Drosophila melanogaster: one gene and its partner. Changing the gene in region 1 together with any one later gene gives a genetic interaction. Each region holds a gene or a part of one and is shown in the gene's direction. Other genes may lie near its edges.

Region 1 (6,833 bases):
GTGTATCGCTTTATTTTTGTGTGCGGCTTCTGTCCATTTGAGATGAAAAACTGGCTGCCGCCTTTAATAGATGAATTACCAAAAAAACACACAAGTTTTCATAGAAAATGGGAAACCAATTTGGGTTGGCAAGGCATTTGGGGCCACATGTTTCAAGGTCGATTGCCGTAACTCCATTTTGGTGTAGGAATTTCAATGTCTGGGAGTAGAGTTTATCATTCAAGCAGTGCTACGGGCAACACTCTCAGTAGCTAACCTTTTTTTCTTGCAAAGAAACTTGTAGACATGATAAGAAAACGGGTGTTCGTTTTGATATCTAACCCATTTGCATAATTTGTAGTGTAGAAAACTGGTTTAAACCTAAGTTGTCCTTGCATCGAGTGTTTACTGTGTTCACCTTGGACTACGTCACTTGAGATAAAAGAAAGCAGTCGCAGTTCTGATCTTATCTTATAATGGTAGTCTCTTGTTTCCCATATGAACGATTTCCCCTTGTTGTTTTTTGGAACTACAAATGTACAAGGCCCCGTAATTTCGTAATGAAGCAGTATTACTCACCTTTGCTTCGGAGCCGAACGATTCTTCCAGAGATGTAACAAAGGAGCTCCACTCTTCTCGTCGCTTTTCCTTTCTTTCTTAAAGTTCCTTTATTGTCTCATGACACTTTTTTACGAGCGGCTGGGGGCTTTTTGTTTAGCTGGTTTCCTGGGACGGAGTCACTACTCCGGCGAAAGTCACCGGACCACTGAAAGCGGGAAGCCTTTGTCGGAGCTCCGTATCCCGTACGTTGCTCTTTGGACGTCGGTCACTTGCATTCGTTGGATAAATATGTACATACATACATAAAAGAGCTCGAGTGGGGCTGCAAGCATAAAGGCAGCATAAGTGTTTATGTGCTAGTGTTTGTGTGGTGCCACTTGGGGATTGGGGGTGGGGGAGTTGGGGATTGGGTTGGATTGGATTGTGAAAAGAGCAGCACGGCACACTTTTGTTAATTGCACAATCCTAATCGTTTTCACCCGATAACGAGCACTGGCCATTCCCGTTATAATAACACCTTGCAGTTTCGACCGAATTCGAATTTCTGTGCATGCAACTCTTTTCGTTTCGCTTGTTTTTGTTGTGGAGCGGGCGCATGAAATTAAGCCCCCAAGCTCACGTACTGCGACTCACTTGCACTTGCGCTAATTAAACGGCGAGCACTTGACTTTCTACGAAGTAAACTCCTTCACAATCGAAATAATACTGAATCGCCCCAAGAAAATCTGCCCACCACCCGCGGCCCCATACTCTGAACAGCTGTGCCGAACAGTGCTGCACAACGGCCCGTTCTGGTCAAAACAAAGCAGAAATGTGTGTGGAATGTGGCACTGCACAGGGATGCACAAAAGCTAGTGCGAGTGTTGGCCGCTTTCAAGCCAGATCTCGTTACTTGTTGGAAAGTTTTAGAGCCGCGTAAGTTATAAAAAAGTTTACATTATATTTTGATTTTGGGTCCTTTTTAAACAATTAAGCTTACAACAGCATAAGCCACCTATATATTTTACGTAACCTATCAACTTGGTAGCTCGAAACTTTACTTTAAAAATGAGCTAGATGCCAAGCTAATGAATTTCTAACTAACGGAATTTTGGAAATACATAGCACCCATAACAACTAAATATTGCCAAATGCAGCCAGCCGCAGCAAGTCTCGGCTTGTGCTGCGCGCAGTGTGAACGGCTCGGAGTAATTTGCGAAAACCGCGACCAGTGCTGCGCAACGCGAGTGCGAAAGCCAAAAGCAGGGTCGGATCTTTGGTGCGGGGTGGAGCGGAGAGAATGTAGCGTTGAGGATTTTAACAAGAAACAATTTAAGAATCGCGCTCCTGGCCGTGCGAAAAGCGCCTGGTCGAATCGTTTAAATGTCCCCTTTGGTAGCGTCGATTGCGTGTGTTTAATCCCCGGTGCGCTGCTTTTACAGACTGTGTTGTTTTCGTGCCGGCAAGCCAACCAATTTGAAACCCCCCAAAAAGTTTCCACTTTTTCATTCCCCCAGAAAAGTGACAATTATTCGTGGCCGTGGTCGGCGGATGCAGCTGCAAAGCGGGCGGCGATTAAAGTAGTGCAATCCGGCGCAGGTCCTCGCCATTTGTTTATGTTGATAAAGCAGTGTTTGTGGGGCGACAACAAGAAAGTGCAGCTCAGAGTGAAATTGCCACGGTTATTAAGTGGTTGTGGTTGCTTGGTGTACGTGCAGAAAACCTAAAACAGACATCCCCAGAAGAAGAGGAAGCAGCGGAAAAGGAGGAGGAGGAGCATCAGCAGCAGCGACGTCTCTGTTGTTTTTGTTTGGCTGCGAGAGAGAGAGAGGGAAAGAGCAACGAAGAACACGCGGCTCTTTCGAAAAAAAAGGGCGGGAAGGCCCTTTCGGCTCAAAGGAAACCCTATCCCACTGAATATCCGTAACTCTGCCCGCCGGAAATGTCAAAGGGGGGCGAGCACAAGCGCGTCACCCTCACCTCGATCATCCAGGGCGATGCGGGCTTCTCGCGCTTCGGCAGCAACATCCTGGAGCCTGATGCTGCGTCCGCTGCACCCGACAACAGCTCCAAACCCACGACAAAGACTGCCAAGTGCATCCGCATCAAACTCGATCTGTTCGAGACCGATTCGAACAAGTATCCCGAGTTTAACTACTCCCGGCTTTTGTATTTGGAAAAGGTAAGAGTGTATAACTCAGTTGGAGGATCGCTTTCTAAACCCTTGCAATCCGTAGAAAAAGACCAAAAAGCTGAAGCAGGTGAGCACTACCAATGGCTCCGCAAGCACTGATCCCTTTGCCGACAACGATGACGATGTGGCACGGATCGTCAAGGAGCTGGAGGCCAAGTATGGCAACTCCTATGCCACAGGCAGGGGGAAGAGCAAAAAGGACGACTACCGGGACATTGGAATGGGCTACGATGAGTCGGACTCATTCATCGACAACACGGAAGCCGTAAGAACAAGAAATATTTCCGACGAATGCACTGAAATTATTTACCTTAAACTCTATGTTCTGTCCAGTACGACGAAATCATACCGGAGGAGGCGGAAACTCTGGAGGGCGGCTTCTACATCAACTGTGGCGCACTGGAGTTCAAGAACCTCACCAAGAAGTCCTACACCACTCGAACAGATGCCATCATCAAAATGCCAGAGCGATCACGCAAGCGCATGGTCTCGTCCAGCTCGGAAAGCTCATCGTCATCCTCGGGCGATGATGACGAAAACGATGATGGCAACAATGAGGAGGACGACGAGAGCGATTCCGAGGACGACTCCGAGGAGAACGATGAAAGCGACTCCGAAGACGACTCCGAGAGTGAAAGTCTTGAGGACGAGGACTCTGCTGCTACAGCCAAATCCAGCAGCAAGTACAAAGACAATCATCAAGCTAAGCGGGCCAAGGTCATCGTTACGGGCAAGTCCAAACCAAGCTCAAGTTCTTTGACGAGTGGCAAGAAGCCGCCGACTAAGCCGATCACCACTTCCTCATCCTCAAACTCGCCACGACCCAGCACGGTGGAGATTTCGGACACGGAAGACGGCCAAGACCCTATCCAGACTCAGCCATCAAGTCAGCTTCAGTCCCTGCCGCAGAGTCAGGCCCAGGCGCAAGCTTTAAAGAAGGTGGTTAAGACCACAACGGTCAAGGACATGCTAAAGGCCAAGCGAGACAGCTTCCTGAAGTCGCAGAGCGGCACGGCAGCTGTCAAGGGCGTCGGCAACGGCGAGCTGAAGTGTGTTTCCACCGACGTGTCCAGCAGCGATAGCAGCGATATGGAGTCTGAGCACGGCCGGGCAGATAGGCAGGCCGGTCAGCATGGCAAGGATGGGCAGGAAAGTGAGTTACATATACAGTATTAGTTGGTTGAAATCACCCTTTCACGTGTTCATTTTTAAGATCTTCGCACCGCCGACACTCTGCTCCCCACCACATTGGATGCGGACATTGTGACCGCAGTCAACAGCTTCAAAGAAGCGGTGAAGAGTCGAGACATGTGCGGCAAGAAGTTTAATCTGGATGTGAAGCTTTCGCCACTACTGCTTCGGTGAGTTTGCAGCCGATGTAAACATCAAGTACAGATTTAAGGCTTATATCCATTAACCTACACCAGGGTGTACGAGGCGGTGCTGTGCACGGACCGCAACGAGCGCAACATGGTCTTCTCCCACATCGAGTATCAGCTGCAACTGCCCAAGTACTACATGCTGCGCAAAGGGAAACAAGTGCGGGCGAAGGAGGAGAAGAGGAAGTCCACCATTATGCTGGAGAAGCTGCGGCGGGCTGTAGCTGTGGTCATGCCTAAGGCGGTGGCCAACTATGAGACGGAACTGCGCACATTTGCTGAACAGGCGTAAGATTGTTGTTAAGCGAAATAACGATTAGGTTCCTTTAGATTATGATTATTATTTTCAGAGCTGCGGACGTGAACTCCGAACTGCCGCCCAAAATGCCGCGTAAGAAGTTCCAGTGGACCAGCGAGCTACGCCATCTGCTGTACGATGTGTACCAAGCGCGTTGGACGTCCTACGCTTTCCTAGCCAAGCGCAAGGAATCGTTGGAGGAGTTCATCAATTGGTATCTCAAGGAAAAGGTGGTGGAACTGTGGCCGCCAGGCTGGATGCGTTTGGATGAGTTGCAAAGGGAAATAACACGCTACAAGAACGCCAAGCTGAAAGCAAAGGAGAAGCCAAAGGCACCGCCGGCGTCCGCATCGCCCAAGCCCGTTGGAGTTGTATCTGCTCCTGAGCAAATGCCGCCGGCAAGCAGCTACCTAAAGGCAGTGGAGGACCCTCGATCTCGAGGTAACTCCGATACGGACTCAGCTACAAGTGCCTCCTCCAACAGTCTGAAGCGAAAGCTGAAGGAGATGCCCAAGCAGACCAGCAAGCCGCCAAAGAAAAAGGTGGCTAAGCAGGTACCGCTGCAACCGCAACTTACTCCGCATCCGCAATTCCAGCTGGCGCCGGCTGCCACGGCGGCCGTCAGTATACCAGCCATTAGCAATAACAACAACCACCTGCCCCACCTGGACACGCTGCTCTCCATGCCGAGCACCTCGGCTCAGGCAGCAGCACTCAATGCCGCCGCCGTAGCAGCCGCCAGTACGGTTCTGGATCTGGCATCCCCTAGCCGGAAAATTGACCTTAACACCAGCAACAATTTCTACAATCTGATCACGGCCGCCTCCCTGGCAGCCAGCGGGAATCCCAGTCCGCATTCTGGAGACGGCCAAGCCAAGGTGATTGTGGGAGCTCGGCCCTCTCCCCATGTGATCAACCTGGATGACTATCAATGCACCAGCGATATACTTCAGACGTCCAAGCAGCTAGCTGCCACCACCACTGTCATCACCGCCATCTCAAAGGCCGCGCAAACGACGTCGGTAGCCAGGGAAAGCAGCAGCGAGTCGGATGGCGTTGAGATTGTGGGAGTTTTTCCTGCCTCTAAGCCCCAAAAGAAAGTCCAGTCTAAGCCCAAGAACAAGACTCAGAACAGAGGTCGGTCGTCTTTGGGTGCGGTGGGGCAGGTAAATGGATCCCTGGGCTACAGCGCGAATAACATGTATATCTACAATAGCCCAAGAACGCTGGGTCCAGTGTACGATCTCACCGATCCGCATATAATGAAAACTATGTCAAATCTGAAGGAAATGGAAAAGCAATTCATTCAAGCGGCTTTCTCGCCGAACAGCGTCAAGGGCGCAAGCGGAGGAATGGGATCCTCAGCGCCCAGTACGCCCACGCGCCAATGACATTCGGGATCGGCCGCACAGCAGCCCCTTCCGGCTGCTGTGACGGCCTTTTACAACCAGGAGGCGATGGCCGCCGCCATCGTGCTCTCCACGATGAGCCACGCCTCGCCGCGCTACGACCTGCTGGCCAACGGCTCCGTCTCCATGTCCGCCGCCCAGGTGGGAGCCTCTGCCAACACACTGCCACAAGTATTCGTTAAACCCAGCCTGCCGCAGCCCAGCGCTGGCGGCGATGTGGTGACCACGACTGGAGCTGCTCGCCCATCCACGCAACAACTGCCCACAAAGTTCATTTAGCTAGGGTCACTCAGCTCGTTCCCTTGCGATTCTAATCTAAGATTCTAGTGCTGATTCTAGGTAGGTTTCATTCGCAGCTGTGTCTGCCGATTTTCCAATTATTGCACCAGTTTAATTATTGTTTCTCATTGAGTCGTTTACCTACTAAGTCAGTGTACTATGCAAGCATTAATAAAGCAAATTTATATATATTTATTTATAGAGAACCATTTTTATTAAATAAAGGCGAATAAGTTATGTAATAGAAATAAATCCAAAAGGCGCATTTTCTTTACACACAGCGAATATATATGTATATATATAATTGATACAAAATTAGTTCTGTAAACCAAAGGATAACGCTAAAACCAGCAACTGCCGATAAACACCGACGTGCTGTCACAGAAACGATTACTTAGTCTAATTTGTAAAAGATAACACGCGTGTCTCATGATGATATAGCCGAAAGATCGGACGTCTGTTGGTCTGCGATCATTTGATCCAGCGCAGCACCGATGTGGCCGCCATTCGCACGAAGGCGATGGTAGACTGCTGGTTGGCCGCCGGCATCAGATTGGGATCCGCCAGCTCCGGCTGCGGTGTCAGGCTGGGCACCGCCTCCCAGTCCATGCGCAGAGAGTTTTCGTCTGGAAAGGCATCAGCATCAGTTTGAAAAGATTATTCCCCTCAAATTGCTAAACCAACTCACCCTCTGACTCCGATTCCGTGGCGGTCTCGATGCCGATTAGTAGGGAGTCCACTGACTTCATGAGTGG
Region 2 (4,677 bases), 4.8 Mb from region 1:
GGGATCCTCTTCTGGCTCCTGGTCTACAGACTCCTCCCTCGCGCTCAAGTTCAACAGATCCTCATCATATTCATCGCTTTCATCCCCGATCTCGCCAATCTGGCGTAAATGCTTCTTGGCTGCATGAATTTTCTTTTGGATTTCGGCCAGCTCAGCGAGGTCTTTTTGCCGGTTAACACCGATAGTAGTTGAGATGATCTCAGACACAGCGGGCACATCCAGCGCCCTATTGGCCGATGCATCCTCATCCTCGATGGACTTGCGATTTTTCTTTTTGTGCAGGATCTCGTCTTTGGCACTGAGATCAATGTCCATGGTTTTCTTTGCCTTCTCGAGAAGCTCTTCGGCAAAAACATCCGTGATGGAACTGACAATTGGCATGGCATCTGAGGAACTTGGCTGTGGTTCCGACAGCTCATCTCCGGACTTTCGGTGCGGTCGCTTATCCTTCTTGGATCCTTTTTTGTCCTTCTCCTGACCGCGAGACTTGCGCTTCTTGCTGGAAGCTGAAAAAATTGGAGTTAGTGGGTGCTTAAGTATGATGAGCATATCCATCATACCACTGGATGTGGGGAGTGTGACCTCTTGGAGCTTTTGCAGCACTTCGTGCAGCCAGGTGACAAAGAGGTCAGTTTGATCGCCTAGGAATAGATTCAGCTCGGCGTTCATCTGCTGTTTGGTGCGCTTGTTGGCCACCATGACCATGACGTAGTCCGGCAATTCATCGTCTATAAAACCGGCCGATCCTCCGGTTCCCAGCTCCAGCAGCTTTGCCTTTACGGCGCTCTATTAATGAAGTGCAAAAATATATATAGTATTGGAGTATCCAATCCGAGCGGTATCCATAACGAGTTCATTGATTTTTTTCCAATGACTTACGCGCATCTTCTGACCAATCTCGCTGCCCAGATTGCACTCCATGTTTGCTGGTTTATCTATCGCCTTTTTCGCTGTTTATTCGCCGCGAGCATTTATTATTTACGCTTACTTTGTGGCTACACTCCACTTTTTGTTACATTAGAAAATGGCAAAACCTCCCAAAAAAAAAAAATATCGCAGCTGCTCCGATATTCATAACTAGTGGTGTGCGTTTGACATTAAGGGTATTCACGTTTAATTCACACGTTTTATAATGTATATATCGATTTTCTATAAACATAGCTTTAAAATAATAAATAGTTACAGAAATTTCATTTGAAATTAAAATGGCAAATTAAAAACTTCTGAAATTTAAAAATGCTCCTGGCCATGGCCATGAACTGAAGTGCAACATAACTTCAAAATAATCAACACCAATGGGACAATTTAAAAATATAAAAAGATTTCACTTGTTATTCATTAAATCATAAGTCTAGTTATCAAGAATTTGTGTAGTAGCTATTAAATTACATTCGAAAATTAAAAGCGAATAATTGCAAACAGTTTATTTAATCACATAGCTAAATATAAATTTCATAATAAGCTTAAATTCCAAACCAATGGCTACGAATATGTTTGACTGAGAATTAAAATTCTCAATTTGAAGTAAATATCTTAGATTGTAGAATCCTGCGAAGCATTTCAGTGCATCATCTCAAATTCAAATACGAAAATTGGCTCCTTCGGCTAAGACTCGATACCCATCTTGTGAGCCCCGCCACCAACTATCGATACGCAAAGGCATTTCATTCGGTGGGAATGGCAATCGAGTGTCACACGGGAAGAAGAAGCTGCGAAAAGAATTTTAGAAGAAAGCAACTGCAATTTTGTCATAATCGGAGCTGCAATTCGCAATGAATAATGGAAACTAGACAACCCAGTTCCGGTGATGATCTAAAGCCAGGTGCGTACCGCCCGGTGGCGCAGCGAGTGCGTCCAACGGGGCTACCAAAGGCAGCCCCTTTGACTTTGTGAAATGTGTGTCTGTGTTTCGCTCGCCCTTCGAATCGAATGGCTGCGTTTTTTCGACTGCGTTTCGCCAAGCGAAATTCACGGGCCCCTTTGGCCAGATATATCTGGAATATTGACGACTCCCAGCGAGCGCATTTTCGACAACTTGTTGCACTAAAACCCGTGAAATCCTCTATCTTGCAGAGCTGTACTTCCTCATTTCCAAGTTCCTGGCCGCGGGACCGCTGGAGGAGACGGCGAAGGTGGGTTGAAAGCAGCGCTCGCGCGAGATCGCATTGGAATCGTATTTCGCGCTAAAAGAGCGGAATTTCGTTTTGTTTACAAACATTTACATTAATTCTGAAACTAAATTCTATCCAACTGTAGGTCTTGATCCGGGAACTCGAAGAGAAGAAGGTGAGTTTTGTTGGTGCTGCAGCTGTGTTTTTGGCACAGATATTTCGGACTCGAATTGAGAGGGGGGCCAAAAAAAAAATAGAAAACCGCGTTTGTTTATACGCTTTGTTTTGGTTTTGTTGTTGTTTCTGCTGCCGGCAGCGAACGACGAAAAACCCACTTGTACGTCCGCTTGTCTCAGAGTTGGGAATCAGACTGAATTGTGGATTTGCTGGGGCCACGTGAATATATAGTCCATTAAAAAAAGAAGAGAAAAACATGAAAAAAGAAATGGAATCATAGGGATGCCCCCGCGACGTCATCGTCGACGTCACGGAGTGCAAGTGATAAGAGTCATACATGCATGCATATATATTTACACCCGTCTATATATACGTACACCTTTCGATTCCCAGGTTTTGCCGCGTCGTCTCGATTGGCAGGGAAACGAGCATGAGCAGACCTTTGAGGAATTGGTGAGTGTTTTCATAATTAATCAATTAGCTTTTCAAAGTTATCGTTTAATGCCTTTTGATCGGCATTTAAGTCTTGCGTAAGTGTGCGTCTGCTGCGGCATTTTCCGTCTCAGTCGTTCGCTCGCCTTTGTGACGTCATCGTGTCAGGGAATAGAGAAAAAGTTGCACATCAAAATTCAAGTTGTTAATTTAAAAAACATTACAACTAAAGACATCAATCATTCTGACTGTTAAATTAACAAATAAGTAAGCAACTATTTAATTAAAAAGGCAGCAAAAAATTGCAAAAATTCGTAAAAGACTAAAGTGGAAAGCAAAAATTCTAAAACCCTCGTAAAAATTGTAAATTTTGAAAAATCTTAATTTTTTAAACAAATGCTTTGTAATTTAGTTTTAACAATTAGCTGCAACCAGCCGACATTTTGGTTTCTCACACATACACATGCCCATGCGCACAGACACATGCAAGCAACCACCACTTTGCCTTGACTTGTGCGCGAGGGAACGAGACAAGCATACGTTGTTGAAGCTATCGCACCGTTTATCGCCCAATCGATAGGAATACGTTAAATTTTGATTTTGAATTCGCAGGAACGAAAGTACAAGCACATTGGCGCCAATCACTTGCTTGAAATATGCAGTCGTCTGGGTCCACTGGTGGATCGCGAGCTTCCGCCCAGTGTTCCGGGCATCAACTCGCTGTTGGGTACTGGGCGCCAGAACCTCCTGCGCACCAAGGAAACCGTCTACTGCCATCGCTCCTTAAGGGACTACTGCACCCGCCTGAATGGAGTCTCGCTGCCGGATTCGGTCCTTACAAAGCCGACCCACAACTTAGGTTAGTTGCATGGTAGAGTTTTATTCGCATATTAGAGACTAACCCATTTATATTTCCAAAGATCGCGTTCTAACTGGACGGGAACACGGCGGGGAAGTCCGTCGCAAGCTCCTCGTGCCCACGGACCTCTACCGCCGAACAAAATTGCTCCGTCGCACTGTGGGCCACCTGTCCTCAGTGTACTGTGTTCTGTTTGATCGCACAGGAAGATACATCATCACCGGAGCCGATGATCTACTTATTAAGATATGGTCAGCGGCAGATGGCCGCCTGCTGGCCACTCTGCGAGGCGCCTCATCCGAGATTACAGACATAGCCATTAACTTGGACAATACGATGCTGGCTGCCGGGTCATTGGATCACATACTAAGAGTGTGGGACATGCAAACCACATCACCCATCGCCGTACTGTCTGCTCACACGGGCATGATAACTTCGGTTAACTTTTGTCCGTCGCCACGTAGCGATCTGAAATATCTGGTGACTACCAGCACAGATGGATCGATCGCCTTCTGGCAATACTCAACGCCGCGCGGGCAAAAGATCACGTTTGCCCCGAAGCCAACGCAGTATCATGAGAAACTGCGGCCCGGACAAGCTCAGATGATGTGTACCACCTTTTCGCCAGGAGGCATTTTTCTGGCCGCTGGGTCTGCCGATCACCATGTGCGCGTCTATATGATGGGCGAGGACGGTCCGAAGCGAATATTGGAGACGGAAGCTTACACAGATGCCGTGGACTCGGTGCAGTGGTCGCATCGTGGACTGAGATTTATATCGGGGAGCAAGGACGGCACAGCACACATCTGGACGTTTGAGTCGCAGCAGTGGAAAAGTTCCAAACTATGCATGACGGAGCGTCTGGCCAGGTGAGTGCGATTTTCTTTAAAATGTTTCTAGCTAGTAAGGAATTCTCTGAAAACTAATAGCTTTGTAATTAAATTGCAGCTGCCCGGAACCAGAGGAGGGAAAGAGGCTTAAGGTAACCATGGTGGCTTGGGATGCCTCGGACCGTTATGTCATCACCGCCGTAAACGATTTTACTGTAAGCATCCGTCTTAAAACGTGCTAAACATTTACTTATAATTAATAATCCCA

What was found.
Region 2: of yem (region 1) and BRWD3, changing one suppresses a phenotype caused by changing the other (phenotypic suppression), as found in Drosophila melanogaster (one study listed by BioGRID).

The regions. Positions count from the first base shown.
Region 1 is NT_033777.3:29,117,830-29,124,662, reverse strand, and holds yem (yemanuclein), read left to right. Parts: upstream 1-1,783; 5' UTR 1,784-2,461; coding exon 2,462-2,701; intron 2,702-2,756; coding exon 2,757-2,978; intron 2,979-3,046; coding exon 3,047-3,866; intron 3,867-3,926; coding exon 3,927-4,074; intron 4,075-4,140; coding exon 4,141-4,380; intron 4,381-4,442; coding exon 4,443-5,781; coding exon of another isoform or gene 5,782-6,078; 3' UTR 6,079-6,333; downstream 6,334-6,833. Other genes in the region: Atg14 (Autophagy-related 14), read right to left, coding at 6,550-6,704, 6,767-6,833. UniProt on the Drosophila melanogaster protein: May play a key role in egg organization. May be a transcriptional regulator having a role in chromatin remodeling in concert with Hira, a histone chaperone. Involved in chromosome segregation by affecting kinetochores function in the first meiotic division.
Region 2 is NT_033777.3:24,317,336-24,322,012, forward strand, and holds the start of BRWD3 (BRWD3), read left to right. Parts: upstream 1-1,664; 5' UTR 1,665-1,779; coding exon 1,780-1,822; exon of another isoform or gene 1,823-2,073; coding exon 2,074-2,132; exon of another isoform or gene 2,133-2,256; coding exon 2,257-2,286; exon of another isoform or gene 2,287-2,447; intron 2,448-2,681; coding exon 2,682-2,741; intron 2,742-3,332; coding exon 3,333-3,579; intron 3,580-3,640; coding exon 3,641-4,448; intron 4,449-4,527; coding exon 4,528-4,624; intron 4,625-4,677. Other genes in the region: Nab2 (nuclear polyadenosine RNA-binding 2), read right to left, coding at 1-506, 561-786, 880-921.